4 linked regions of the Struthio camelus genome follow. The protein of the gene in region 1 interacts with the protein of each later gene in a pairwise test. Links are inferred from orthologs where the notes say so. Each region holds a gene or a part of one and is shown in the gene's direction. Other genes may lie near its edges.

Region 1 (7,693 bases):
TTTGAACGCTCGCAGGTAGCGGCACCTAATACCGTCCCTGGCCATGGGGAGCTGCGGCGGAGAGCCCAGCGCCGCACTGATAGAGCAGTTAAGCGAGATAATAGACTCGCGTTTGGAGAGGCTGGCAAGCCCCGTATAGAGCCCGTGCTTAAACAGGGCCATTACCAGCCGGGGTAAGCACTGATAGAATTGCATGAATATCCCCGCAAAACGCTGTCTATATTTATAACAGCTGACGGAGTAATTTGGAGCACAGTCAGGGGGCTCTCGGAGCGGCTCGGGAGTTAAATCGGACACAGATGAGCACGCGCCCGCAGTCGGGAATCGGCCACGAGCCCGGTGCCCTCGCGGCCCTGCGAACATCCCAGGCTGGAGCTGCTGGGCGCAGACGGATCCTGTTGCTTCCCTTGGCTGCTCTCCTAGCAGCACCGCGCAGGGTGCCCCGGCGCCCGTGGAACAGCTTGCCGAACGCAAGACGGCCGCAGGCCCGCGCTGCCCGGAGCCGGGGGAAGGAGAAGCACGACGTGGTCCAGCGCTCCCCTGTGCCCGGGGGAGCCTCTGCAAGGAATTCACACTCTTAACCTCTGCAGCCGAGCAGCAGGAAAGCAACTTCCAGGACATATTTATTGCTTCAATTTAAATGAATAGGTATTTTAAATTTACACAAACTTTACCTTGTAACTTCTGCAAAAGCTGACCCAAAGCGATAGGTACACAGCTCAAGTGCTAGCCGTAATAAAATGCTAATTGCAATTCATAAATTATATTGGGATGCCTGGGACTATTGAAGATCCTGGATGAAGTGTAGTGTTCAATTTATCCTGTGCATGTTGCCGACAGTGCTGCCAGCCTCCTCCTTGTCCCCCTGTGTTGTTTTGTCATCTCTGTACTATCACCAATTCATCACAAAGGCAACTGAACTCTCCAATGTCCACCCACCAGGTGACTTTGTCTTCGCTACTCTATGACTTCTAAATTAAATTGTCAAAACACATTACCGAGAAAAATATTGTGAAGGGAAAGTTCTTTACCCTTTTATCCCATCTTAAGAAAGAATCACTTTGGTTTGAAGAAAACACGTCTGCTTCATTATCCTTCCCACTATCATATTTCTTCACTCAGCAGCAGCAGGAGAAGAGTCAATACCAGAGTCTTGGATGACATGATGTAGCATCCCCCAGGAGCTGTCTCGATAAATCCTGAGAGTGCCCAGGCAAAGGCGGAGGGGGAGGGGGTAATCTCCACTCCCTTTCATTCCTCCCACTCTCAGACAATTCAAAAGAGATTATGGGTTTGTTCAAAGGTTCCTGGTGGAGCCTTCCCTGAGCTGGAGGATCCTTGCTCCTCCAGCGCTAGCTGGGCTGGAACAAGCTCCTTGAAGGACTTGCAATAGAAGAAACGGGGCCCAGGAGAAGGCACAGCCGGAGCACAGCCGCTTGCGGAGGAGTCCTTGGATGTGCGACCTCCCTAGAGGGCCACAGGCAGCTTGCAGGGGTGAGAGTAGCCCCAAAACTGCTCTGATTTGTACCGAGCATTCGAGGAGCTGCAGCCTGCTCCCCGACATCTCCTCTTCGGTTCCTCTGCCCCCCAGCTAGGGCACAACCCAGCAAGGCTTGCACGCTGCAAAGGGGTTTGGACTGAGCTTCGTGCCCCCCTCTAGCCAGTCTGCTTTCCCCACTGTAAATGCAGAGCAGCCCTCAGGCCAAGGCCTGCAATCATTAAATCAGTGGGAGTTTTGCAGTGGGACTTGCATTGTTCTCAGTAATCCAGGAGATACCTGCTGCTAGATGCAATCACATAAAATAATTCAACTGGAGGCATAAAACAATAGAAGCCATTTCTCAGAAGAAAAGAGATGTTGATTTCCACCTTCTCTCATTCACACATTGGTCTCTGGGCATAATGTATCAGTCATGAAAAGCCAGTAACACATTGTGCACTCATTCTTTTGGCTTTGGACAATATTAACATAACAAACATGCATTGTTTATTTATTCTGCTATAGTGCAAGTAAAGCAGGTAATGCCCTGCGTTTAAATGGGATATTTTTTAATGCCCACATTTCCTTAGCCGTTATGATGCATTAGCCATCAGTAGTCAAATTGCCTTGTATTTGCAGTTTTATGGGTACATTTTATCAAGCACACAGGAGCCGCACTGAAAGCACAAAAATAAAGTATTCCACTTGTGTTAGGTAAGTACTGTTTAGATGCAAGATACGGCCGTCCAGGAGAAATCTCTTTTTTTTCTGCAGCAGTTCCAGATTCATCTCCAAATATTGCTTCCACTTGCAGTAAGGACTGCCAAGAGCCTGCTTTATGGCTATGTAACATCCATGCATCCTCCACGCACTAAGAGCTCACAGCTGAATTCAGCCTGCCTTGGAAATCACCTGAGTGTTTCTTTGCTGTTTTAAAATATCTCCTAACAAAACGTTATTGTTGCTCTTCCCCCCAGGGACGCCGGCTGCCGGGGTCACAGAGCGTCGCCTTCCCGAGTTGGCAGGCAGCCTTTCGGCTCCCCCAGTGAAGCAGTAAAAGCCCCACTGAACAGCTAACGCCAGCAATGAGAATGAAAACGAGCCTGACGGCTGCTGCGGGGAGCTCGGCCTCTTTCTGGCAGCCGCAGCGGATCTTGCAAGGACTGCAGAGCAGCCGCGCGGTGGGTGAGCAGCCGGAGCTCAGCGTCACCGGGAAGGCCACCGCCTGGGACGTGGTGTCCCTGGGCGGCCGCGGGACTGCCCCGAGGGCTGGCCACAGAGATCATGGTTGCTCCAGCGCTGCGGCGGGGGGCACCGGCACGGTGAGGGACTGGCCCGGCGAGGGCACCATCACAAGGGCCATCGCTGCCAGGCTCTCCCGGCGTCGATGGGTGGGGGCAAGAGGTTCGCCAAGGGGGAATGTGCTCCTTCTCGTGGTCCCTCGGAGCTGGCGCCCAAGGAGCTGCAAGGGCTGCGGCACGCCAGTGAGGTTTGCAGGAAGGGACGAGCTGCCTTCCTGTCGGGGAACCGCGCGTGAGGCTCTCCAGGATGACGGCTAGCAGTCGCCGACGTTGCAGGGTATAAGCGGGCATCTCCGAGCAGCCGCCGTGGGTCGGGGCTTGAGTAGCACTTACTTCTTTGGTGATGACCCAAGCTAAATCTGCTTTTTGGGGTGATCAAATTTTAATTCTCCGGAGCTCTCAGTTCCATTTCGCGTAACGCTGTATTGCTGCTAATGTCTCTGGGTCTTCTGATTTTGTCTGGATTTATTTCTCCCAGGGAGCTTTATCTGCCTTTCAACCAACTCCAGGCTGAGTGTGTAACATGAATATTACAGCGCTCACTCTCAGAGATGAAACGATGACATATTCCTCATATTTTCCAGCCAAGTACAGCCCTGTTTAATACATACATAAATAAACAGCAGCTATATCTGCAATGCCCTTTTTTCACTTCAGGCTCCTTTTAACAGTACATTGAACATGAAAAATCAGACTCTCGGGCTGCAGGCAGTAATCTGGGAAGGCAAAGCAAACCAATATATATATATATTGACTCAGTAAGTGGGTGGAAAGCTTGTGACCGGCACTTTGCTACCAATTAGTCTTGAACATCAGCACATATTCCCAGGAAAATGGCGCGCCGGCGCCCTTCTGCGCCCACGAACCCGCGGAAGGGCCCGGGGTACGGCAGCGAGCCTGGACGGGCCTCTTGGGCCTGGACGTAGAAGACCCTCATTAGAGGGGGGCAGCAGGATGGGACGTAGCCGTGTACGGGCCCGAACGCCCTTCGGGTCCCTCCGTGCACGGGCGCCAGCAGCGCGCGGACAGGAGCGCCTGCCGGTTTGGAGGCCCCTGGGGCGAGCTGCCCTTCCCCGGGCAGGGACCAGGCCCGAGGCCCGGGGTGGGGGGCGCAGGCCCCAGCGGCGAGGCCCAGCCGCCTCCCTCGTCCCATCCCTGCCCTAACCCGGCCACCAGCGGCAGGGAAACGGCGTTTTTGTCCTTAAAAACAAAAAACCCACATGCCGTGAGGAATTCGTCGGTCCCCCCCCCCCCCCCCGCCCCGGCCCCCCGGCCCTAAACACAGTTCATTGTCTCCCTCTAAAGGCCGAACGGAGAATTTCGTCCGCCCACCCCGCCGCCGGGCCCCGGCCCGCCCGCACTACAGCTCCCGGCGTGCACCGCGGCACGCGGACTACAGCTCCCGGCGTGCACCGCGGCAAGCGGACTACAGCTCCCGGCGTGCCCTGCGGCGGCGGGACGGACCGCACCTCCCACTTTTTTTTTTTTTTTTTAGAAATAGGCCGAGCCGCCACATACCGGGCGCGCTCGGCAAGAATGACTAAACAGCGGAAAGAAACAAACAAACCAAAAAAAAAAAGCACGTCTCAGAGGAACCCCCCCTTCCGGCCCCCGAGCCCGTTGCGGCCTTCACTTCCGGCGCAGCCTTTGTTGCCCCGCCCTCCGAGCGGCGAGGCAGAAAACTACAACTCCCGGCGTGCCGCGCGGCGGCGGCGTCACCGCCCCTTCCGCTTCCGGCCGCGGCGGAGCGCCCCGGCCGGCCCGCCCGCGGGAGCGCCGGTGCCGAGGCGGTGACAGGAGCCGCGGCCGGGCCGGGGCCGAGCGCCGCGGGCGGCGGCAGCAGCAGCAGCAGCAGCAGCGCCGGGGGCGCCCAGCGCGCTGCCTCTGTCCCAGCGGGGCCCGGCCGGGCTCCCCGCCGGCCTCCCGGGGGGTCACCTTCATGGGCGGGCGGTAGCGCGGGGCGCGGGGCCTGCGCGGCGGCGGCGGGGCCCGGGGCCATGTTCGTGCAGGAGGAGAAGATCTTCGCCGGGAAGGTGCTGAGGCTCCATGTGTGCACCGTGGAGGGCGCCGAGTGGCTGGAGGAGGTCTCGGAGGACACCACGGTGGAGAAGCTCAAGGAGCGCTGCCTCAAGCACGTAAGGAGCCGTGGCTGCCCCGGCCCTCACCGCTGCCGCAGGGCGCCGGGGCCGCCTGGGGGGGAGCCTGTGCCGAGATCCTGGTGCTCTCTGTAACGCTTGTGTTCCCGAGCTGGGAGAGAAAGTCCTAGCCGCCAGGAGGGGTGAGCAAGCGCTATTTTGTGAGGGAAAACAGATTTGTCTAAAAATCTCTTAAATAGCAAAAACAAACGAGTGTTTCTGTGTTTCAGCTCCTGGTCTGCCATATCTGCTACTCGCTCCTTCCCCCTCCCCCCGGCTGTGTGAAACACTTCCATATAGAAAGTGAATGCCTGCTTCAAGAGCTGTATGTGTTGGAAAAGGGTGAATTTTGATGGAAACTGATTGCAACCTTTAGTTATAGAATCCCGCAAGCGTGTGGCAGTAGCAGTAAAGGTAGCCAACTCCTGCGTGCATCTTAAGCGGTTGACGTGCTGGTGACCGTGCGTTGCGGGAGATAACTGGAACTGGCTTCTTATGATTTCCCATCAGAGACTAGAACATGTTTTGTTTCTAGTTTATTTTTCAGGAACAAACAAGGAAAGTAGTAACTGGTGGAGAACTGTCCTTTTTTTGAAAAAATTCCTAGTACAGCCTTACCCTATGTTGGCACAGTAACTAGTGTGGGTTTCAGTGGGGAGTTAATAGACTAATACTCTCCCGGCGCTCTAAGGATTAAGGTCTTAATGGGCATGTTCAGAGAGTAAGTTACTAATCATTGTCTGGAAGAGAAAATATGTAAAAAATATACAGCTGCGTTCTGTAGAAATTCAGCTGGAAAACAGAGGTTCTTTGTATTCATTTGTTCTGTTACTTGCTTGTGTGTTTGGGGGTGTTAAACACTGAAACCGGTGGCTACAAAACTGTTGGGTTGAACTTCGAAGATCTGCCATAATTGTGTTTTATTTTAAAGCAGAGACATGATTGACAAGAAGTGTATAAGATGGTGATCCATGACCAGGACTGTTCTAAAGACTGGCATTCTGGGACCGGGACAACGCGGCTTGACAGCTTGAGTCAAAAGCTGCTGAAATTTTTACTGAGAGACCTAGTGGAGCTCATTTAACTTTCAGGTGAAAGAGGCCAGAACCTCTACTCCCCCCTCTGAAAAGGACTGCATGGAGTAAAAGGGTTTTCATCTTCAAAGCGTTACAGAGGTGTTAAGGAATGTTGTTCCTCGTAGTAAAACACAATTACAGTATGAGAACAAACCTGTGCTATGTAATTAGCTAACCACAGCTTGAAGTAACTTAGGTTGTGGTAAGCTATTTAGGTTGCTTTGCTCTCTGATGAGCAGGTTGTAAAGTAAGGATGGACAGCAGCCCAAGTGCCCTCTGCAGTGTGCCTTACAGTTAGTTTTTTAACTAGAACCTCTGGAAACTACAGGTCATGGCGCACATTGTTCTGTCTTGATCCACAGTCTGCAGAGGTGCCTTTTGATTTAGAGATGAGAATGGCTGCATTTGGGTTTGCTGTACCTGAGGTAGGTGTGACCTTTTTGAGGCAAAATGAGGGTGCCTTGCTGAAGAGAACGGGTGAAGGGCCCTCTGTCTTGTCCGTGTTCTCGGAAGAGCTCTGGTGCTACTGTCTGGTCCTCCTTCCGCACAGCTGAGTGATTAAGCAGAAGAGTGGTGCAAGACTGCCAAAATAGGGTGGAGTAATGATTACACGCATATGTGCAGAGCTGAAGACCTTTAATTCTCAAGAAGCTTAATTGAATAGACGCATGCAATGTGAGTCAGGGCAGAAGACAATTGATAACTTGGTGGTGATGTTTGATTTCATCTCTCTGCTTCTTTATGCTAATGGTGTGGATTTGCATAACCATTATGGATAATATATCGTTTTATGGAGAGGGAAAGTAGAAATGGAAAAATGTCTAGTACTTGGTGATCATAGGCATGTTGCAATGAATCTTGATAATGCCTTGAGATAACTTATGCAGCCACCTCTCATGCTGATTAATATAATCCCGAAAGTTATTGAAATTGTTCTTTCAGGAAGCTAAGGAAGATGGCATTCACCAGGGTGTCCAGTTTTGAATTAGGAAGGTGGGCCCTCTTTCTTCCTCTATAACATTCAAATGTTTGCTAATCTCTGAAGAGTCATTTTTGATGTCTCTTTTTTCCCCTTTAAATGTAATGTTTTTTGCTCCTAGATCAAGCAAAAAGCTTCCCCTAGTTTTATCTGTTGGCCTGTAACGATTTAGTGATGATGACGCACCATTAAACTGCTACTTTCACTAATATTATTTAGACTGTGGAAAAAATACTTGGTAATAAACTATTTCCTTTCCTACTTATTTTGAATTGAAGTTTTACCATTAAAATGTTCTTTCGGAACAGTGACTTGTCCCTGCGCAAAGCCCCACTGCCTCAGCAGGAGCTCCTTGTGCAGCCCCGCTGGCACAATCGGGCCCCAAGGTTTCATGAGGTTTCTTTAAAAAGAAACCGTTCATCTGGGACCCAGAACTGGGAAAGTTCAGTTTAACCACAGAAACTCAGGCATAATTTGTCTGTTTTCATGATCCATAATTCTTGTGCCCCAGACTGACGTTTCAAGTATAACACTGCTTTGGCTGAAAGTGCTGCAGAAAGTCCTGATTCTAATACTCTGATTACAAGGGATCATTGCTTCTTGCTGACACTCAGCAGTATTTCAGAAATACTAGTGTAAACTGTAATCACGTGCTTAAGGATGGACAAGTGTGGGCTCTGTGTGTGTAAGTTTTACCTATGATTTGCTTGGCAATGTGGGGC
Region 2 (7,501 bases), on another chromosome or scaffold:
GTGCGCATGCAAATCAAGGGTGTGAAAACGCTGGAAGAGTCTTTCCAGAGTTGTGGCAACAGCTTTTGTGACAGGCATTGTAGCAAAAAAGACGCAGAAGAAATGGCTTAAAGGCTTATAATTTGGATGCAGACAAAGTGCTCCAGCTCAGGAGCCTTTCTGGGATCTAGCAGAGCAATCTAGCAGAGCTGTGTAGATGTAGCTGAGGACCAGTGTCAGACGGGTTGGCATGTTGTTTGAGTAACGTGTTACCTTCTAGTTCCAGACTTAATTCTGCTTATTTATGGCATAGTAACTATTGAAATTGCCATTCCTGAAATCTGGAAGTGTATAATTTTCAAAAACAAACCCGACCATTGTGGGTTGTCTTGTCTGGACTTCTAAATAGTTGAGCTGTAAAGAGAAGAAGCCTGGGGAACAGCGTTGTGTCGGCCTGTGCTCCAAAACGCTGAGGCAGTTGCAATGCATGAGTGAATCGTGAAGACTTTTTTTCAAATTCAGAATAATTCTTGATAACAGAAGTAAACAGAAATCAAAAAAAGAAAAATGCACAAAACCCTATGCAGTTAAGTTACGCCAGAGCTCAAATACTTTGAAAAATCAACAACATCTGAAAGTAGTTTAGATAGTGCTTTTCCTTTGTTTGCATATGCATATAGCGCATTCAAAGAAGGATCTGTTTAATGCATTTAACGTATTTAACAGGTTTCAGCCAATTTAGAAGAGGAGATTAATTGCAGAAAGGTATTGCAAAGAACAGGTTAGTGCTGAACGTAAGGGTAAAAATAAAGTTAAGGAGAGAGGTTTTTAAACAAATAGAAAGTGAAGCTATCCAAATAAACAGTGAGTGATCTAAAGCTGAAAATTTGATTTCATAGTTTTCTCGAGCCAACTGAGCCTTCCGATTAATGGCTTATAAGGCAGTGGATTCAAATTGGACAATTGAAGTTATTACCATCCCTTGCTCTGTACTTACCTTCCTGCCTTGAGGGTTGGGAAATCCACACTATTAGTGAATCAGCTCCTGATTCCCTGCAATTTTCAACCCGCCTCCGAATCACTGAGTGAAGAGCTGAACCAACAGAACGAGTAGACTGACGGACAAAAGAAAAGAAGGAAAAAGTAGGAAAAAAAAAAGAGATGGAACTCTATACTTATGTGCATGAGCCCAAAACAATTGAATACCTACAAAAAGAGGAACCTGGGCAAGAAATGAGTTATACAAATACTTTCCTACACAGTTGAGTCAGTAGGAGGTCTTGCAGATGCTCTTAGGATTTAGTTTCATGCTACACTTAACCCAATCTAACCGTGGGCTGCAGCCAGAAGAGGAGGTATTTACTGCCCCTTTCCCTGCACAGGCTGTGCCACTACCTCTTTTGGAATGAGAACATGATGATCCCTTTCCTTGTCAACCTGCAATTACATTAGCGTTAACATAACATGAAATTTCAGCCTTCTAAAACAAGGACACAAGCAAGGAGTTGTGCCTATTTGCCACCTCATTTGGGACATGCTTCTTCCTCACTCTGCTGTCTGAGCAGTTTTATGTGCTAAGGCACTTCAGTGGAAGAGACAATTTCTTACAGTTTGGAATGCACAGACTTTTACCATTTGGATACTTTTATTGGGAGAAAAACAATAAAAGAGCATGCCCAGTGGCTCCAGGCAGCTTTGGCAAGATCGAAAGCTTCAGGGCTACGACTAAACAAACAAAACATATATTCAATGCAATGGGACTAACAAAGCTAGGACGTAAGTTTATACAACACCACATACAGGTAGATCTCAAGTAAGCTGCTTTTGAGCACTATCCTGATTACACAGCACTTTCTGGAATCATTTCTCATCTTTTCACTTTGTTGTCTGTAACATTACTGCGTGAGCAGCTTAGTCTGATACTAAGATGAAAAGTGTGTTGGAAAGTTCCTTTATCATTCTTCGTCTTCACTCCTCAGGGAAATTTCTAACATATATTTATTTTTTTAATTTAAAAATATATTTTTGCTGTGTTCATGGTAGAAAAAATAGAATATTTTCAAAATTGGGATTATATTGAAGCTGGTTCTGCCACTTTTACCTGAAGCCCGACGTTTAAAGGTATTTTGAAGTAATGACATACAAACAAAGATGAGGGGAAAGCATTCTCCTCCCCTCCGTCTTGCAGCTGTTAACATACTAGTAGAAGAGGCACTGAAAGGCCTCAGAGAGGCAAGCACAGAGAGGCTTGTGGGCTAGCAGTGCATGCTTCATGAGGTTCAGAGCACCCACAGTTGCTTCTGTATTCAAGATCAGGATTATACTTTCTGTCATTACAACAGAAGAGACCAGTGAAACAACATACAAATGAACAGGCTCTTGTGGATCAATGTGAAACATGAGCTTAAAGTATAGACCACTTTCCCAGGTATAGTCGCCAGCGTCCTGGCTTCCTCCTGCTTTTGATATCTAGCAAGAGCTGGAGATGGAAGAGTATCCGATGGTGTGAAAGAGGAACTTGAGCAAGACATTAGCTTATCTGCCACCATTTGCTCTCATGTTACCCTCCGGCTTTGGAAATTGTGCAATTACTTCCTATTCCATGGCTTTTACTGTCCCAAACAAAGCTTATGAGGGCTCTTGTCCCAGACCACGCTGCACCACAAATATTCTTTCATAATTACATTTCTTTTTCAGCCCATTCTCTGCCTCAGTCTTTTGAATTTTACTGGGAGGAGGCAGTGAATGGTATACATAATTTTGATGTATACAAAATAGAAAGCATTAACATTTTCATCAGAGTTGATCAATTGTTAAGTTGCTCCATGGAGAGATAATAATTCACAAAGATGCTATTGCTGACCACAAGAAAGTTGAAGACATATTTAGTGAGTCTGCTCATGAAGAAAATGAAAACACAGCAGAAAGTAAATAGAACAGCTTGCATAATGTTTACAGTCTCCTACACTGTTTACAGAATTTGCTTAATGATATGTATGCAAGAATAAAAATAATCACAGTATATTCTGTAGAGGTCTGCATGCAATAAATCCAGCCAGTGCAACTGTTTAGAAAAGCTCCAAGGTGGTAATGCCTCTTGAACCCAGAACACAGCATAGAGGGCCCTACGGGTCTCAGTGATGACCCTTCCTTATCTTACAGAGCAAAGAAGAGGCAAAGTCTTTTCCTGCCTCTTCAAAGACTCCTGACAGGGTCCTTCCAATGCTACTGATCCCTCAGGTGGTTTCTGAGGTGAGCGGAATGACTTCCCCATTCATATTTAATTTCTTTGCCCTTTTATTAAACATCATTACAATCTATGCATAACTTTCCTAAGATACCCAGATGCATATAAAACACCCAACTGCACACAGCCTAGTGTCTCCTATGAATTCTTATCCGATCATTAGGACAGCAAGGGGTAAGTTGTCTTGACCTCAGTAACTTTGTGCAGCACAGCCAGATGGGCAAAACTATTAAGTGCCATAGTCACTAAATCATTTCATCATGAAGCAAATCTGTGAACCCTTTTAGATTTCAATGCTGTAATAGTATCTGTATGCACAGTGACAAATCCAGAGGAAAAGCCAATCTTCCTTGCAAAACCAATGGATCATTTCATCCACACATGACCTATACAGTCGTAGACGTGAACTGGTATTTAGATTTTTTTTTTTAATTTAATTTTTTAAATTTGCGATTATCAGTTGGGAAACAGCACTAAAAGTTCAGGCAGGGGGGTTTGTTTGTTTAACTACCCTCTCTAACATGTTTCTTCAGCTGATACCTCCGCTCTTGCAAAGGCTAACGGACCTGCTAGTTCCTCTATAACCAGGAAACTCCCAGTGCGTTTGCGAGCAGACTCCCTGCCTGAAGGCGTCTGCCTTCCCGAGTCACTGACATCAGGAATGATACCAGAGGCCTGTCCCTCGTATAGTTTAACGTGCCACGAGCTGGATAAGAACCCCCGGGACTAGCCCTTCAGCAGCTCCTAGGTGCCCCAGCAGACCCGCTTGCCGCGGTCCTCTGCTGTTTCCGCTCTTTGCTGGTCCGTCCGCCTTTCCTTCCAGGGGGGCGGCACGCACCCGAGGCGGGAAGTCAGGCCGGGCTGCAACACGCAACCCCGGCCCAGCCGCCGCCAAGCAGCCCCAGGCACGGGGAAAGACCTTCCGGAGCAGCCCGAAATTACCACTGAAGCATCTTTACTGCTTGCAGCTATGGTTTCACCTTGTTTTAATTCCGCCCCAGCCACGTCAGCTTGGGTGCGGTAACATCACCGTTCTTCCGCCGCCGGCCGCAACAGGAAAACCCGGCGGGCGCCCAGTGGCGGGGGGCCGGCAGGACGGGCAGCGCCGCTCCCCCCCCCGCCGCCCCGGCCCCGGCCCCAACGGCCGCCGCCCCGGCCCCAACGGCCGCCGCCACTTCTGCGGCGGCCGGAAGTCCCTCCCGTCCCCTCCCCGCCCCTGGCGGAAGTGACGCGTGCTGCCGTGCCCTCCCCCCCTGGCGGCGGCGGCGGCGGCGGCGGCGGCTCGGGAGCCGGGCGCGGCTGGCGGCGGCCCGAGGCGCGGCGCGGCGGGCGGGATCATGGCGGACGGCGTGGACCACATCGACATCTACGCCGATGTGGGAGAGGAGTTCAACCAGGTACGCGCGGCCGCGCCGGGCCCCTCCCCTCCGCTCCGCGCCGCGCCGCCTGCAGGGCCCTCGGCGCCGCGGTGGGGCCGGGCCGGGCCGGGTCGGGCCTGGCGGCGCCATTGTTCGGCCGGCTCCGCGCTGAGGCTTTGCCGCGGCGGCCGGGCCCGATGGCGCCGTCGCTGTGCCCCTCGCCGCGCCGCGCGGATGGGGCTCGGCCGGCGCCGCGGCCAGGCCGCGTTTCGGGCCCGGCCCGCGGCGGGGACAGCAGGGGAAGGCAGGGCCGCGCCGCCGTCTCGGAGGGGAAGCGGGCGCCGAGCATGGAGGGAGGGAGGGAGCGGCTGCCTTCCCGCCCTCCCTCCGCCAGTGGCCGCGCAGCAGCGGAGCAAAATCCCGCTCCCGCCGCAAGAGGAGGAGGCCGTCAGAGACGGGACCCTCCCGGATGTGGTGGGGAGAGTGGCTCCCTCCCGGCGGCGGAGGGGAAATACTGCCATTGTTCGCCCATGAGTTTTTAAAAGAAAAAAAAAAAAAGAAGTCGCCGTGCGGGAGCCGTTTCTCGGCCGCTCTTTGCGGGGGAGGTTGAACTACTGCGGCTCTATTACGCAGGAGAGGAGAAACTGTCTTCTTTTCACTCTTTCTTCTCGCCTGCTCCTTAGAAAAGACATTACTTCCCTCCTCTACAGGAGGAGCTCCCTTTTGGTGAGGAAGTGGTGTTGGAATAAACAGGACTTCCCTGGCTTACAAGTAGCCGATTCCTCTGCTTCCTTTTTTCCTCGTATCTCTCCCAAAAAGTAACATTCCTACTTTCCCGCTGAAATCTGATGTTTGAATCAGATTTGCGTGCCATCTGTCGTGTTTGCAACCATGCCACTTCTCTAGGTTGTGTTGCCCCAGATTGCGTTGTTCCTGCCCTAGAACGTAAATAACCAAGCACGGCTTTGCTTCCACAGATTTACCAGGCTTACTGAGTGAGGCCCAGCGCTCTGCCTGCCTGCCTGCCCTACAGAGAACTGAGAGACAATAGGTTGTGGAAGTCGCAGTTAATTTGGATAGCAACTCATAAGTGTCTCAGGAAACTTGAATTCTTTAGGTATTTATTGATAAAGTAATTCAGAAGATTAGCAGTCTCACAAAGGTATACCATTTAGGAATGTTGGATCAGATGAGCAGACAAGGGAGAGAACTGAATTATTCTCTTAGTTTGCTCTTAGATTGTCTAGAGGTGAAGATTTCACTCTTACAATTGAAAGTTCATTATATGAAACTAAATTAGGGTAACCCAAGCACAAATACCATTTTATCGTAAGAGTACATCTGTTCAGTTTCTTTATTAACTTTTTTTTATCAGTTCCAAGTAGGATATTGATAGCTAATTAAGTAATTCAGAACAATTAATTGAATCCAGTAGTGCTGGTGTAAATTCACGAGTGCAGAAGCCCTCAAAGTTGAATAATTTATGGCTGCGAGTATAGTGCAGATAGATACTGCCAGAGCAAAACTGATGGGGATATTCTGTTTCGTGCAATATAACAACGTTCTCCTGGTCTGCTCAGATACTGGCTGATTTTGACATTCTCTGTAGCTGTGTTACTAGGGAGGATGATTTTACAGATGAAGAGAGTCTAGTGATAGTCTAGCTGATGCAGCAGTCAGGAACACCTTTTGGTCTTTTTGCTGCACCCACCCCTGTTGCCTTCCTGCTGGGGCTGTGTTTCTGCACTGTTACTTCCCCTGTTTGTGACTCTGGCAGAACACAGAGCAGAAGAATAAGAAGGAATTGGTGCCCCTTTTCCCTTAGCGTCTCTCTTTTATTTGCAAGATTTTGCTGCTTAGTCTTTTCAAAGTTTGATTTTCATGACTTGCATGTTGTCTCGGACCTGCTCGGTTGAACAGTATTACTTTAAAATAGAAAGCGATAGTGGGAGACATTGACACCTCTGCACTTTCCCCGTTTTGTTCTGTCAAGCATGAAGGAAGGCTGATTGTTGCTTTGTACAGTATTGCTTGCTGCCTCTAATTCTGACATTGTTGTGATGGGTCTTTTTAAAAACTGTTTCTGGTGATTTTTGATTTGAACCTTACAGCTTAAATTGATAAGACAGAGAGTTGACTAATGCTGTAGGGAGAAAGTGATTAGCATTATTAATCTGTTTACATAGCAAACGTTTTACAGGGTGCTGTATTTGTAAAGAAAGCTTGCTATATGTGTAAAGCAGTAAACGATTGTTCTTGGATTGGGTGGTGCTAGGTTAATTTGATTCATGAATACTCATTTGAGTTGGTCTACAGGAACCATTTCCACTAGTTTTGCCAGTAGCAGGGACTGAAAATACACTATTCTGGCTTTGTCATTCTTCTGAAGTGCAGAATAACTGTATTTTTACCCAGGCCAGGAAAAAACTTTTCCTTACATCCGTGGTGTTTCAAATAGGTCTGTAAGGACTTGTGATTGGATGAGTTTCCCTCCATTGCTTTGTCCTGTTCTGGGCATCAAGATGCTCCTCTTGGGTCTCTTCTGGGATTTTTATAGGCATCCTTCTAGGAGAAGGGATGTTCCGCTTGATTATTGCTATATGAGTCACAGGTAAGAAGGGTGAAATACAGACCAGAGAGCCCCAGGTTTACCAGCTGGCTAAACTGGATGAACGTGAGAACTGACGAGGGTGGTATTGGTGCTGGTTACCGTGATCTGGCTGGCGCAACTTGAAGTCAAATCTTTTTCCTTTAGTGAAAGCACATCCTTTCCATTCCATCTGGTGCTCATCAAAACTACATGCCTATGTTGCCTTTCACCTTTCATCAACTTGCCGTTCATCATATGTATATTCTTTATCCTTATGTTTACAGCTCTTAATCAATTTGGCTCCTACGGATTTTATTTATTTATTTA
Region 3 (7,185 bases), on another chromosome or scaffold:
ATTCTCAAATAAGTCTTGCAAAAAATAATTTTAAATAAGATGAGAGCTATGGACATTGCATAAGAAAAAAGATGAAGTCCTGAGTTCAGGGCTGAACGATTTAAGTTCCCACTTTGGCCTTATGCAGGTCTCTCTATTTTTCTACATCATGCAGCCCTCTTAGGAATAAGACGACTTGTATTTAGCTACTCACAGGGTTTATCTGAGGTGAAGCACCTTGCATAGAGATAATGCTTTGCATGTCACATTGTAATAATGTGTAATTTCATAAAACAGTCTATGTTCCACTCTCCAGGCATTTGAACATCATCTCTGCACCTCACCCTAGGGAGTGACTAGTTCATTGGCCATGTCATGCAATCATATCACAAAAACCTTGGGGACTGTCAGTGTTTAATTTGCCTTCAATGAAGCCTGCCAGATCAGCTTACACTATTTGTCACTATTTTTGGGCCTGGCTGCCAGAGCCTTGGCAATGATTTCTGCTTCTAAAACAAGGAAAGAAGTAGGCAGGCCTGCAGTGGGGAGAGTTAAATGAAATTGAAAGCCATGAGAAACCAAGGCAGAAATCCACCTTTGATCTGTTTCCTGTGTTCTAGGCTAGATGAAATCAGATTAGTTTTAATCCCCGTAATGACTATCTCCTTGGCTGAACTTGGGCAAGATCCTAAGTGCAGGGACTAAGGCCGGCCATCTCTTACTGGAGATATACTGATACCTAGTGAGATGGCCACTCCTCAGCCTGATGCCCAAACAGCCTATTCTATGCTTGAGGAAGCAGAAAGTGCCTATGAACTGAATACATGGAATATATTTACAGACGTAAATGGAGATGAATTCAAGTTGAAGCTGGTTCCATGCTGAGCTGGCTAGATGTTACTTAGCTCGGTCCAGAAGCCATGCAGCTATGTCAGCTTTTGCTGTGCTCAAGCTGATAAACCATGTTGGGAGAGTTGGTACAGCTATAAAAAGTAGCTGAATTTTCTCACTCTATGGCATATCTTTCTTTCTATTTGTTAGTAAATTATTAACTTCATTTCTTTACCTTCTCTTGTTATAATATTAATTTATCAATTTGTCCCTGTTGCTGTCTTTGCGCAATGTACTCTTTGAAGTTCAAGGTTTTACCTAGGAAAACTATCAGAACTACACAAGTTTTAGTGACAGCTCAGCTCTTTCTGATCTCCTCAAGAAAACTTTTCCTGCTTTTCTTGGAATATTATATGGAATATAATTTATAGGAATATTCCTGCTTTTCTCTTCCTAAGGCTACTAAGTATGTATTTCATTAGACATTGTCTAATTATAGTGTAATTGTGTATATAAGGTTCATTTCAAAGTGGATATAGAAATGTTATTGAAAATGTTTTCTAATTTCCATTGTTTAGTTTGAGAAGGCAAAAGATTATTAGTGATACGCTGTGTTTTGTATGTCCAGTGGATAGAACATGAGAGTTGTGGTTCAAAGATCTGAAGTCAGGGACGTCTGACTCCTGTGTAACCTTTGACTTGGTGTGTGATGTTTGATTAAATCATAAAAGTTCCAGTCCTCGAAGGTATAGAGGGTGCGCTGGTGGTGGTGAACTTTCTCAAATCCAATTGGAGTTAACACCGTGCACCAGATCTCCTTGTTTTAAAGTGTAAAAGAGATAAAATGTTTGATGCTTTCACATCCTCTTGGAACACTTGAGTTTTGCAGACAAAAAGGACCAATTCAAGATGTACTGATCTGCTTGTTTGTCTAAATAGACTTACTTTATAGATCACTTTGGGTATTCAGTGCAATTTGTAGAGGGATTTTCTTGTTTAATTTAAAGCTCAAACTTTCCCCAATACAGGAAAACCCCTTTGGGGGATTTTGGATTATGGAACATCCCTTGTTCTGTCGCTTGTGGCACCAGCAGCTTGTTGTGAAACCTTGGTCTTGGTTCTTGAGCACCAGCTCTGAGAAGCAGCATCCTAAATAACCCTTTGCCTTCAGAGAGCATAAGTCTCCTTTGTAAAAGTGTCTCCACTACACAGGAAAGGAACATAAGCACTGTAGGTTTTGAGGCAGTGCTTCCGGCCTGCCTTGTCCGATCTGGAGAGCCCTGCTGCACAGTGGAGTTCACGAAGACTTTGCCTAAGTGTTGAGGAAATGTTCTGTGGGCAGAGTGTTCTTCTCTGTTCATCTTCTGTATAGGAGTAGAGGAGAAAAATCAGACTCCATATATATTAATATATTTTATTCCAATAAAATTTGCTAGATTGACAGATCAGGAGAGATCTTTATCCACTGAGTCACAGCATAGATACCTCAGAAGCAGGTTTTTACTCGAGTTTCCCCAACACCATTCTTCAAACTGAAATCACTTGATTTTGTGCAGATGTAAGTAGGTAGCTCAGCCTTCCACACTATTAGACTTTTGATTCGTACTACCAATAAGGGGACTGTCTGCAGGGCAGGCTGGAAGGGAAGACATCTGCCTACCCATTTCACAAGGGTCACTAAACATTTGTTATGTGACTACCATTTCATGTCAAATCCAACCCAGGCAGGTCTTCAGCTGCTGACTTCAAGGCAACCCCCCACCCCCAGGCTGCACAACGCCATGACCAGGGCTCTAACTGTCCCTTCTTCCAAATATGATCTGGTAGATCCCCACAGTGGATGCGGGCAGGTTTGTCTCCTCTGAGCTGAGAAGAAAGTCATGTGAACAGCAATGTGCCTTTGCTGTTTCTGCTCCGCTGCATTCTGTGCCTCACTGACTCGTACAGCTCCTTTCAGGCACTTCCTCACATTTTAAGGTTGCACAGTTTGCTAATGAGTGACTTTGAAGCTGACATTTCAGTTTTGAATGGGGTAGATGTGTGCCGCATGTGGGTTTATGTCATTAAGTGAGATCCTTGTTGCTGGGAGAATAAATACATGGGAAAAAACCCTCTGCACTTTAATATGCAGTATTGATTGCTACATTGAGCCATAATGTCAACTAAATGTCTCCCTTCCTCCTCACTTCCCACAAATGCTAAGTAATAGACTTAGTTGACTGGAATTTACAGATTATTTTGTCTTTATGAGTGATGCAGTGGCAGTGCCCCCTAAGCTATTACTTAATTAGTAGTAACATTTGGGGGTTTTATCCTACCTTTCTAATACAGTTTTAAAATAACTGCACTTCTTGTCCCCAAATCAGATCAGCTCTTGATTTTGTAATTAGAATTGTGGCGTTACATTATTTTAGAAAAGAATCTAGGCCATATACATTATGTAAGGTTGCCATAGGAACGGTTTCTCAGGGGGAAAACGGCCTGTCCGTAGTTTCCACAGAAACGGCTCCCCGCTGAGGCAGGTGCCTCCAAGGGAAGTGAAGGGAATATAAATGAGAGCGAAAAGACACGCACAGATGTTATATGATCTCTGTGGCATCCCTACATTGTTACAAATTCGACTGTACGTTTCTGGGTTTATTTTCAGTTTGTAGTTTTTGATTGTGTGACCAGCACCATCCTCCTGTCATGTAAACTTTGCTCTTACTTCCCTCACATGGAGCTGGTTTTGCAGCTGGAGGTATGGAAAAGCTCTACCTTGGCAGTGAACTGAGCCTGACCACAGCAAATACTGAACTCCAGTGCTCTAGGAACCACTGTGCTTGGGACAATTGAAATGGTAAATGAGAGTTTTCCCCATTTTAAACTTTTTTTCCCCCCCCCCCCGAAAGAAATCAGCAAAGGCAGGTATGGAAATGCTTCCTTCCCGAGCGGAACGGGGAAGGAGTGAATCTTGATTAATTTGTCAGTTAATGGTTTTGTTCTTTTTGGGTACAAGTATACACTCCCAGGAAAAATGTATGCTGAAAGATGAGGAGGTACTAAAAAGAGAATTAACTTGAGATTTAGGATTTTTTAACTGAGGAATAAATGAGCAATTTCTTTAATGTATTAAAATGTCACTGGGGCAAGTATGAATAAACATTTCTGAAATCCTTTTGCATAGTTCCTTCAACAGACAAATAGTGTTGATTTATTTTTTTCTTCAAGGGCAATAAAACTGTGACATTCATTCAAGGCTTAGTGCGGCCATAACTACAGATTAATGTGCTGGCTACTTCATCTTTATTCTGTCATCTCTCTGCAGCTTTATGGGGAAAGTAGGCTGACATGGTTATTAAATCTGGCAGCTGTGTTGTATGCACATGGGAAGCAAGTAGAGCACAGCATATAGAAAACGAGTAGCTTTCAGACGACAGCCTCCTTTTCACTGCTACTAGGCTTGAAAGGCAGCCTAAAAAGCTCTTTCTCTTTGTAATCAGCAGTCACTGGATCAGCGAGCAAATATCACAAACACATTGCAAATGTAAGTATTCCTTGCCTATGTGCTGCTTTCAGATTGCTAATTAAGGTTTCTACCTCAGTGTTCTGGCTGAGACGGCGGAGAGATGAAAGCTGAACTCGTTCTCGCAGGGAGTGCTGCTCTGCAGTACTGTTTTGGCTTTCAGTGCAAGAGCTACTGAGAGAAAGGCATACAAACAAATAGTTTGCAGTTGTGTTCGCTGATTTTTGGGATGTCTGTTTGCCGCTTCGTCTGCGAGGGGAGAAGTCAAGCAAATGCAGGGAGCGTTTCTAGATAGATGGTTTTCCGTTTAGATAATACGAGATACACAGTGAGAAAGCTCCTTCAGCATTAATAGACTGCTTGTGAACACACAGGAGAGAAATCTACCGTGTTTTTTTCACCTGGAATCTTTTCTTGAAAAATCCATAAACGCAGAACTGGACTTCTAATTAAGAAACTCGACAGTACCTTATGATTAGAAGCACAAACAAAATGTCATCCTAAGGGGGACCAGTAAGCCTGCATCTGAGCTGATAAGAACAATGAACATAGCACGGTGAGCGATGCATGTTTTTCACCAGTCTCTCACTCTGTACATGAAGAGGATCTTTATCTGCTCTATGGCATGAAGGCAGGATAGTATGGTGGTCAGAAAGCAGTGGAGTGGCAGGCTTCTCAGTGTTGCGATGATACCGTACAGAAGAGAATTGGTATTTGTTACTGTTTTTTAGTCTCATGGCACTGTAGAAACAGGATCTTGATTTTTAGAGCCTTCTTTCTAATTCAAAACTTCTGTAGTGCCATTGTCTTACTGAGTTTATAGCTGGTGAGCTCTTATTATGCTGTGAATGAAATGTGCTTATTGGAAACACTCTGTAATCAGTACCGAGTGCAAATGTCAGATAATTGCACAAGAAATGGAGGCTGTAGCCAATTTGTTTGAGTTGCTGTGTCACATTTCTTGCTTTATTTACAGGATTTGTTATTTCTTGGGGACCGTGATGGTACTGCAAGCGTTTTATGAGGCATGTGAAAATGCCATTATCACAGTTAACAGGTGACTGTCATGAACTGATTTGGAAGCAACTATTTATGTTGTATTTGTTGCTGCAAGTACAGGGCTCAACATACTTGTGGTATAACCCCCTTGATACCGCTGTTACAACACAGGTATATTTGACCAATCTGTTGTTTAGAAGCCACTTTTGCAAAACTTCATTCTCATCTTACAGATGTTTACATAGAAATGGGTCTTCATTGCAACAACTGAAAGGTGGTTTGGGGCGGCTGCTCTTCCTCTTGTATCTCCTTTTTTCCTCATAGACAAACAGAAATTCATAGCTTCCCTGAAACTTAGCTATGAAAATGGTCATTTTTGATGGCAGCTGGTGAAGCTAAGCTTCCCAAGGCTGAATGGCAGCCAGCCAACTGCTCAGACAAGTGGTGACCTTTCAGGACGATGTCTTTCACAAAAATGTCAAAATATTAAAATGGCAGACATCAAATGCCATGTGTGCAGGGAAAGGTTGTCAGCTGGCAGACTCTCAGCTGAAAGCAGTTAATCCACTGCTTGCCTGGATTAAACATTGAAAGCCCCTACATAAGTCCCTAAAACGTAGAGAAATCATTCATACGTGCCCTGAATCCTTTCAGAAGTTCTCCTGGGAAGATTTGGGACATAAACTGAAAAATTTCAGAGGTATTTTATTTAAAATCTGCTCAGGGATCTTTCTTACAGATGTCAAAAAAAAAAAAGCAGCTTTTTGCCTTTTCTGTTGCACTTTGCATCGTATACTAGTTTTCCTCTCAAATCTTTTATGCCTGATTATAAATTGATCTGGATGAAGCCTAGGCAAAGTTCACTGACAGGCTGAAGGATGGTGAGATTCTGACAGCATACGCACTGACTTTTTAGGCAAATCCTTGCTGAATGTTAAAGAACCCCTGCAGCTCTTGGTGCTGCAGCTCTGAGCTGGAGCCTCGCTTGCTGCTCTGTGCTTTAAGGCTTTGTAACTTTCTTCGAAGGTGCTGAACCCTGAGCATTCCCATGCTTGCTGGTGTGTCAGCATCCATCCCACAGATAGCTGTATACCCTGGTAAACAGCACAGAATTAGATCACTGAAACTGTGATTGCCTGCTTTGTTTCCCCTCCACGCTCGTAAATATTTTGAGGAGGTGCGAAACTGCCCGATCCTTTACCTCGGGCTGAGGAAAGCTGGGCAGTGTACATGGTTGATCAGGTAAAATCTTTTTACCTTGAGGTTGACCTCACCTGTAGACTAAGAAGGGGAATACCAGTCTATGCACCAGTCCAGTCCTGACTGGCCAGTTAGGAACTGGCTGTAGTTAAGAAAATTGTTAGTATTTCCCAAAGTGCAAAATGCAAGGTACACTGCCAACACAGGTACCCCCTGTAGATCTGTCAACAGCAAGACCAAATCCATCATCATTTACTAAGGTACTGAAAAGGAATATAGTCCTTTCCAGTGTTTGTTTCTTTTTTTTTTTTCCCTTCCCTTTCAGGACAGGAGTTCTGTGTCGCTTCAAGTTCTCTCTCTCTACAAGGAAATACACTTTCCATCTGTGTTTTAATGTCCTTCACCCCTATTCCTAGGGGACCCTCCTCACCACCTGACTCTTCAAAACTGAGAGCCTCACGTTCCTTGACCGCTTTCTTTTTCTGTAGACATAGAAAAGACTAAGTATCTCTGTTGGTCTTTTCTTTCCAGTCAATATTCTGGGATCACTCCTTCTCTCTCCTAATTCCTTACAAGAAGAATTATGAATCAAATGAGGTAGGTAAGGACAAATTCCCATAAACATCTTGCAGAAATTAATCCTTCCTTCCTTCTTTCCTTTCAGTGTTCTC
Region 4 (7,956 bases), on another chromosome or scaffold:
TCGTTAAGGTTTAATTGCTGCTCTGGCAGCTCCAGGAGCTCCTGGGGGGACGGGGGTGCGGGTCTGGCGGGTGCCACCTCCCGGCGGTGGGCATCGGTCTGGCAGGAGGCTCTGCAGAGGGTGCTTCCGGCCTCCCTCCTTTAATTCTGCTGGGGTCTTGAGCGGGGGAACCCAAGGAGGTTCCTGATGGAGGTGGTGGGATGGAACGTGTGTGTGTGTGTGTGTGTGTGTACATGTGTTCCCTGGAAAGGCTCTCGATCTGGGGAGGCCTCTGGAGGTGTTCTAGATCTGGAGTGGGGGGTGTGGAATCTGCAGGAGGTCTAGATCTGTTCCAGAAAGGGTGTTTGGAGGGAGGTTCTAAAGCAGGGAAGATCCTGGAAACATTCTAGATTTGGGGAGGGGGGGGTGTACATGTGGAATTCCTGGAAGGGTTCTAGAGTGGAGCACTACATTTAGGATTCTAGCGCGGTGGGATTTGTGGAAAGGTTATAGTGTAGCAAAATTCTTGGAAAGGTTCAAGACTGAGGACATCTTGGTAGGGTTCTAGATTGCTGGACCTAGAACTGGTCTAGGCCAATTAGTCTAGAACAGGTCTGGACTGGCGAACTGGGAAGCAGTCTAGATTCTGGGCTGTTGAGTCCAGAACTGCTCTAGACCAGGGAGTCTAGAATCATTTCGTGCCAGTGAGTCAAGAATGGTTCTGGGTTGGTACAGTCTAAATCAGGGGGGCGGGGGTCTTGAGAAGGTTCTAGACTGAGGATCCGGGGAATGCTCCTGGTTTGGAAATTCCTAGAAGGGTTCTAGAGCAGTGGAAGTCATGGAAACTGTTCCAGATCTGGGAAATCCTGACAATGTTCTGGGACGATGAGTTTATGACCATTCTAGATCAGCGAGCCTAGAATCATGCTAGATCAGGGCAGCTAGGACTGCTCTAGACCAATGAACCTAGAACTGTTCTAGGTCTGAGCCTTTCTGAAAGTGTTCTGGTGCTGGGGAATCCTGGAAGTACTCTAGAGCAAAGAGGACCTTGGAATTGCCTAGACATGTTCTAGTTGCAGGAGTTCCTGAGCAAAGGTTCTAGATCTGGGGTTTCCTATAAAAGTGCTTGGTTTAGGAACACTAGTGCATGCCAGGAATTAAGTCCTAGCCAGGCTCTAGAGCGAAGCTACCCTAGGAGGGTTCTAGATCTGGGAAGCACCTAGAAAAGTTCTAGATCCAGCATCCCCAGAAATCACCAGGAATTCCCAGCAGCAGCAGCCATGGCAGCAGCAGCAGCCGGGCAGGACGCAGAAGTCTGGTTGCTCACTGCCCGGTCCCACGCTGGGCCCCAGCAGCACGGCCCCATCCTCCCCTCATCCCTCTTCTGCCCTGCAGCAAAGCCGGGTGGCCAGGGGCAAGCGGCGGCCGCGGGGGCTCCTGGCCCCGTCGCTCGGAGCTGGGGAGTCCCGCGGTGGCCGTGCAGCACCGAGCACAGCTGGGGTGCCATCACAGCTGGCGGCTCGCAGGGCTTTGGGACTAATTAGAGGCACGTACAGAGCAACACGCAAATGAGCAGCGTTTCGCTGGGGGCGGGTGGGCTGGTGCTGCATGTAAAAAGAGGGAAGGAGGTGGCGCATCCCACGGCTGCAATGACTGGACCCTGATTTCAGGCAGTTAATGTGTTTTCCGTTCTCCAGAAATGGCCGGAAGCACCAGAAATACGGCCAGATCGGGCAAGTCCGGCTCCGGCGGCAGACGAGGCGCTTCGCCGCGTGCCTTGCCGCAGGGTCAGGCGGAGGTCCCGCGCCACCGCAGCCGAAACCCTGCGGCACCGGAGCTGCTGCCTGCGCCCGCGTAGCGCCCGGGGCTGGGGCTCGCCAGCCGGCTCCGTCCCCGGCGCTGCCTCCCGCCGCCGTCCCTGCTCCGTTGGCCTGGCTCTGAAATGGCCCGTGGGTGCCTGCGCGGGGGCTGAACGGGGCTCAAGCATTTGGGGCTTTGCAGATAAGGTGAGCGTGGCGTACGTGCCCGTGCAGCCAAGGGAGAAGCCGCACTGCGTGCCCGACCCTCCTCTCCTGCTCTCCAATCACCCCAATGTCCGGCTGCACCCCGCGCTGGCCCCCGTAGCTGCAATTCCCGCCTGCGTTGCACCGGGACGACATGTCCAGCAATGCAATTCCCGCCTGCGTTGCACAAGGACGACACATCCAGTGTTGCGATTCCCGCCTGCGTTGCACCGGGACAACACGTCCAGCATTGCACTTCCTGCCTGTGTTGCACTGGGACAACATGTCCAGCGATGCAATTCCCGCCTGCGTTGCACCGGGACGACACGTCCAGCGTTGCACTTCCTGCCTGCTTTGCACTGGGACATGTCCAGCGATGCGATTCCCGCCTGCGTTGCACAAGGACGACACGTCCAGCGATGCGATTCCCGCCTGTGTTGCACAAGGACGACACGTCCAGCGTTGCACTTCCCGCCTGCATTGCACAAGGACAACATGTCCAGTGTTGCACCTCCCGCCTGCTTTGCACCGGGACGACACATCCAGCGATGCGATTCCCGCCTGCGTTGCATCCGGCCGACGCGTCCGGCGACGCTGATCTCGCAGCCCCATCTTGTGGTTACCGAGCCGGCGCGGCGCATGATGCCCCAAAGGGCACCGTGCCGGCCCGTCGGGTGGGCGATGCCTCCCCCAGCACCGACTCGCACCACGAGCGCGCCGGGACTAACGACAGCGCTCGGCGCCGGGCACGACACGGCCATGCGCGTCTCCAGCCCCGGGGATGCTCTGCCGCCCACACGCCGAGGGCTGCGAGCGCCGGGGCCGGGCTGCCCCGCGTCACCCTCAGGAGGGGACTCCGTGCAGTGTCACCGCAAAACGCCACGCGGGAATTTGTGCCGGATGAGTCCCGGGCAAAGCGATGACGGCTGCAGGGCCCTGGCCGCGGCTGGCTCGGGGCGAGTCGACGCTCCTTGGAGCCGGGGCAGCCGCCCGGCGGGGCCGGCTGGTGCTTCGGCCTCTCCTCTTCTCCTTTTGCAGCTCTTCTTGTCATTTGGCGTCTTGTCTTGTCCTGTTTTTGTCTCTTCTGGTCCCTTTCTGTCTCTTCTTACCGCTTTGCATCCCTCTCATGCCCTGGTGCCCCTTCTCGCCCCTTTGCATCTTTTCTCGTCCTTTTGTGCCCCTTCTCAGCCCTCGGCAGCTCTCCACGTCCCGGCCTCCCGCGGCAGAGGGGAATACAGGCCGTGACTAATAACTCCCGTTCAGCGATTAACGCGTGCAAACATCTCCCTCCTCGGCCGAGGTCGCTGCCTGGCGCTCTGCGTCGCTGTGCTCGCGGCCAGACCGAAAGCGGCCGGCGCGGGCGTCGCGTGAGCCCCGCCGCGAAGCGCCGGCTCCATCGCGCCCCTTCGCGCTTGGGCGCGCTCGCGTGCCGCCCGTGGTTGCCAGCAATGACAGGGACCCTCTTCTGGCTCAGAAACGGGGTGTGTTGCAAAATCGGCTCAGCTTCATTCAGCCTCTTGGGAAGGGGCTCGGCGAGGCGGCGGGTGCCAGGCAGGGTGCCGCAGGGCGGCCCGACGCGCCAGCCGTCGCCGCGTTTATTGCCCCGGCCGGTGCAGTCTGTCCCAGCCGGGCCGCCTCCGCGGGGTGCTCCGGAGGGGTTCTGCACCCCCCCCACCAGGGAGCTCCCATAGGGCACCTGCACCCCCCCCTTGGCACAGCACCCCCATAGGGCACCTGCACCCCTCCTTGGCACAGCACCCCCATAGGGCACCCGCGCTCCCATAGAGCACCTGCACCCCTCCTTGGCACAGCACCCCCATAGGGCACCCGCGCTCCCATAGGGCACCTGCACCCCCTTGGCACAGCACCCCCATAGGGCACCCGCGCTCCCATAGGGCACCTGCACCCCCTTGGCACAGCACCCCCATAGGGCACCCGCGCTCCCATAGGGCACCTGCACCCCCCCCTTGGCACAGCACCCCCATAGGGCACCCGCGCTCCCATAGGGCACCTGCACCCCCTTGGCACAGCACCCCCATAGGGCACCCGCGCTCCCATAGGGCACCTGCACCCCTCCTTGGCACAGCACCCCCATAGGGCACCCGCGCTCCCATAGGGCACCTGCACCCCCCCCTTGGCACAGCACCCCCATAGGGCACCTGCACCCCTCCTTGGCACAGCACCCCCATAGGGCACCCGCGCTCCCATAGAGCACCTGCACCCCTCCTTGGCACAGCACCCCCATAGGGCACCCGCGCTCCCATAGGGCACCTGCACCCCCTTGGCACAGCACCCCCATAGGGCACCCGCGCTCCCATAGGGCACCTGCACCCCCTTGGCACAGCACCCCCATAGGGCACCCGCGCTCCCATAGGGCACCTGCACCCCCCCCTTGGCACAGCACCCCCATAGGGCACCCGCGCTCCCATAGGGCACCTGCACCCCCTTGGCACAGCACCCCCATAGGGCACCCGCGCTCCCATAGGGCACCTGCACCCCTCCTTGGCACAGCACCCCCATAGGGCACCCGCGCTCCCATAGGGCACCTGCACCCCCCCCTTGGCACAGCACCCCCATAGGGCACCTGCACCCCCTTGGCACAGCACCCCCATAGGGCACCCGCGCTCCCATAGGGCACCTGCACCCCCCCCTTGGCACAGCACCCCCATAGGGCACCCGCGCTCCCATAGGGCACCTGCACCCCCTTGGCACAGCACCCCCATAGGGCACCCGCGCTCCCATAGGGCACCTGCACCCCCCCTTGGCACAGCACCCCCATAGGGGACCTACTCCCCCCCCCCCCCCATAGGACACCTGCCCCCCCTCGGCAGAACACACGCCTGCCCCCTCCCCTAGCGAAGCACGTACCGCCCCTCGCCCCGCCCCTTTCCTCGCCCCGCCCCTTCCTTCCAGGCCCCGCCCCTTCCCTCGAAACCATTTAAAGGACGGAAGGGGGGCGGAGCAAGGCCGCTTGGAGGACCGCCGCACCGCCTCTATGGTAGGTTTGCCGCGACGGGACCGCTCCAGCCGCCTTCTTTCTCTCGCCGTTCTCCTCCCCCCTCCGCTCTCCCGGCCTCTTCTCTATGGTGCGGGGCGGCGCGGTCACGTGGCGCGCGCAGGCCGGAAGGAGCCGGGCAGCGGCGGCTAAATGAAGCGGGGGTCGGGCGGGGCGGAGCGGCGCGACCCGGCCCGGCCCGGTGAGTACCGGCTGCGGGGCCGCGCCGCCCCCCCCCCTTTCCTCCGGCCCGCGCCTGCCTGCCTGCCTGGCGGAGGAAGGAGGAGGGGGGAAGGAAGCGCGGCGGGGGGGGGGAGGGAGGGGCGCGTTGCCGGGTGCTCGGGGGCTCCCGCCTCCCCTCTGACCTTGGGCGGGGGCTCCGGGGCCGCTACCCGCGACCCCTCGGCCCGGTCCGTCGGTCAGACCCCCCCCCCCCCATGCTTCCGCTCTCCGCCCGTGAGGTAGCTGAGCCCCTGTGCCCTCGCCCCCGGGGAGTTAGAGGCGTCCCTTGTGTCATCCCCCCCCACCCACCCGTGGGGCCCCGGGGACCCTTGTGTCACCCCCCCCCACACACACACACACACCCCGCTGGGGCCCCGGGGACCCTTCTGTGTCCCCTCCTGCTGATGAGGCCCCGGGGACCCTTGTGTCACCCCACCCCACCCCCATGGGGCCTTAGGGACCCTTGTGTCACCCCCCCTGCCAATGAGCCCCCGGGGACCCTTCTGTTCCTCCCCCCCACATGGGGCCCCGGAGACCCTTGTGTTGTCCCCCCCCCTTGGGGGCCTGAGGTCCCTTCTGTGTTGTCCCCCTGCTGATGAGGCCCTAGGGTCTCTTGTGTCACCCCCCTGTGGGGACCCGGGGTCCCTTCTGTGTCCCCCCTGCCAGCAAGGCCCTGGGGACTCTTGTGTCACCTCTCCTGCCCCTGTGAGGCCCTGGGGTCCCTTGTGTTGCCCCTCCCCTACCCCACCTCCATGAGGCCCTGGGGTCCCTTGTGTCACCCCTGCCTCCCCTGGCTTCTCCCTGCCCTGTTGGGGGACCTGGTCCTGCTGGACAGTCAGCCCGAGCAGGGTGAGGGGGCTGGGGGTGGGTTGCAGCCCCTCTCCGAGGCTCCCCTCCTGGCCAGGTACCTGTGCTGGGGGCTGCGGGCTCCGGTCCCTGCTCAGGGGCCTGCTCTGAGTGTGGCTTGTTGATTAACAGCTGCCTGCTACGCTCGTGTCGGCAGCTTTGCCCCCACAGCGGAAAGGACCAAGGTAACGTTTTCCTGTGCTTGCGTTCATATGCTCTCTCGATCCGCTCCTTTCACGTATGTTACCCTGTGTATTTTTGTTTAAAAAGGGAAAAATGAGTGGGCTCTAGAGCTGATCAGAAAATATGGATATAAGCTTGCTCTTCTCCTCTGACCTCATGTCTTGTTACGGAAACACTTGGTGCCATTTGGACATCTTGACATTTCAGGCATCTGCTGTGGGAGCTACTGCAAGAAAGAAACCCAAAACACAGCTGTCCTCAGAGTTGAGGGATCTGTCTGTGTAAGAGATACTCCTCCTTCGCTCTCTTCCTCTGTTTCTCTCTCTATTGATTTGAACGCTAGCTCAGCGTGGTGAGAGAGCAAACATGGGAAGTGCTAATATACACAGCGTTTATATAATAAAAATCTCTGATCTGTGTTTCTGCCTTTGGAATTACACTTGTTCCAGCAAATGACTGGAGGAAGGTTTGCATATTTTCATGAAACATGCAGCACTGAAGCACTCTGAGATTTAAGAGTTTTAGCTAACTTTTAGCATGCTTATGAAGAAATCAGTGCGAGCTAATCAATGTAGTGGTCCTTGTTCATTTGGAATTGAAAAAATAGCCTAAAACAATAATCATCTCGCAGATCTGCTGGCTCTGCGACTCTGAACTCTCTATTTGAATCCCTGTGTGGCAGTTGATCAGGTAACTGCCATTTGTACTTACATCTGGCTTGAATAGTTTTCTTTTCATCTTGCATGAAGACATAAAGCATTATCTTTTAATTTCTTCTAATATCTTAATTAAACTTTTTGAAAGATACTTAAGCAGAAACAGCTGTCATACAAAAAAAGTCAAAATTTCTCGTCATCTTTCTTAATGCTTTTCAAGCCAAGTTCAATTCCTTAAATGAAATATTGTGATTCAATCACTGATTTGCAATCTCTGATTTTTTTTTTTAATTTGTAATACTATTGCTGCTGTACACTTATTTTTGTTATTGAAGCGTAAGGCTGAGTGCTGTAGGAGTGTAACTCAATTTTTATGCCCCTTTCACAGGGGCTCTTCTTGTGTCTCTCTTTAAACCTATTGCCTTTAATACAAGACAGCAGATTGATTTTTTTTTTTTTTCTTTATTTCAGCCAGCAAGCCAAAAAGCAATGACTAACTGCCTTGGTAGCTAAAGGGACAGGTAGTCTTAATGCTAAAACCTATGAGTAGGCAATTGTTTCCTTGCTTTTCTCTAATCTTTCTTATGATGATTTTTTTGTCATATGATTTCTGCCATCTAGATAGATACATCCTTGGAGCCACTGCAGAAGGCTTCCAGCAGTAGCACTGGAAGGGAAAGCAGGTGTCCCCCGCAAGGTGACTAGACTAGACTTTACACACTTGCTTAGAAAGTGGCCGCCTCCTGCCTTGTGCTACCTGATTGAGAGTGGAGTAAGAGCTTTTCTCCCCACGACCTGTTTGGTAGGTGAGGGGGGGATGTGTCTGAGTCCCGTTGCTCTGAAGATGCAAATCTTAAGCTCTCTGGTACGTTGCTGTACAGGTTCCCAGGTACCATACCATAGGAGTGTACAGTGCTAACTGCACAGTGGGACCTTATTTCTTTAGGACTAGTAGACTTGCAGGGACAGCTTTAGTTACAGAACTGCATGATTTACAGCTTTAATCTGAGTTTTTCATCTCTAGCACCAACACTGTGCAAAGTTTCACAGCCTTGCACTGGGCCTTTTGATA

Evidence for each region.
Region 2: the proteins of UBAC1 (region 1) and CPSF6 interact in a two-hybrid assay, tested with the Homo sapiens proteins (2 studies listed by BioGRID and IntAct). The link is inferred for Struthio camelus from reciprocal best matches to the Homo sapiens genes UBAC1 and CPSF6.
Region 3: the proteins of UBAC1 (region 1) and TRIM2 interact in binary tests that used the Homo sapiens proteins (3 or more experiments, as listed by UniProt). The link is inferred for Struthio camelus from reciprocal best matches to the Homo sapiens genes UBAC1 and TRIM2.
Region 4: the proteins of UBAC1 (region 1) and RNF216 interact in binary tests that used the Homo sapiens proteins (3 or more experiments, as listed by UniProt). The link is inferred for Struthio camelus from reciprocal best matches to the Homo sapiens genes UBAC1 and RNF216.

Annotation. Positions count from the first base shown.
Region 1 is NC_090961.1:3,270,534-3,278,226, reverse strand, and holds the start of UBAC1 (ubiquitin-associated domain-containing protein 1), read left to right. Parts: upstream 1-4,678; 5' UTR 4,679-4,778; coding exon 4,779-4,916; intron 4,917-7,693.
Region 2 is NC_090942.1:40,603,156-40,610,656, forward strand, and holds the start of CPSF6 (cleavage and polyadenylation specificity factor subunit 6), read left to right. Parts: upstream 1-4,500; 5' UTR 4,501-4,563; coding exon 4,564-4,623; intron 4,624-7,501. UniProt on the Homo sapiens protein: Component of the cleavage factor Im (CFIm) complex that functions as an activator of the pre-mRNA 3'-end cleavage and polyadenylation processing required for the maturation of pre-mRNA into functional mRNAs.
Region 3 is NC_090945.1:38,644,166-38,651,350, forward strand, and holds the start of TRIM2 (tripartite motif-containing protein 2), read left to right. Parts: upstream 1-4,172; 5' UTR 4,173-4,336; intron 4,337-4,342; exon of another isoform or gene 4,343-4,871; intron 4,872-7,045; exon of another isoform or gene 7,046-7,111; intron 7,112-7,185. UniProt on the Homo sapiens protein: UBE2D1-dependent E3 ubiquitin-protein ligase that mediates the ubiquitination of NEFL and of phosphorylated BCL2L11. Plays a neuroprotective function. May play a role in neuronal rapid ischemic tolerance.
Region 4 is NC_090956.1:4,718,907-4,726,862, forward strand, and holds the start of RNF216 (E3 ubiquitin-protein ligase RNF216), read left to right. Parts: upstream 1-4,956; 5' UTR 4,957-4,980; intron 4,981-5,041; exon of another isoform or gene 5,042-5,179; intron 5,180-6,177; exon of another isoform or gene 6,178-6,230; intron 6,231-7,956.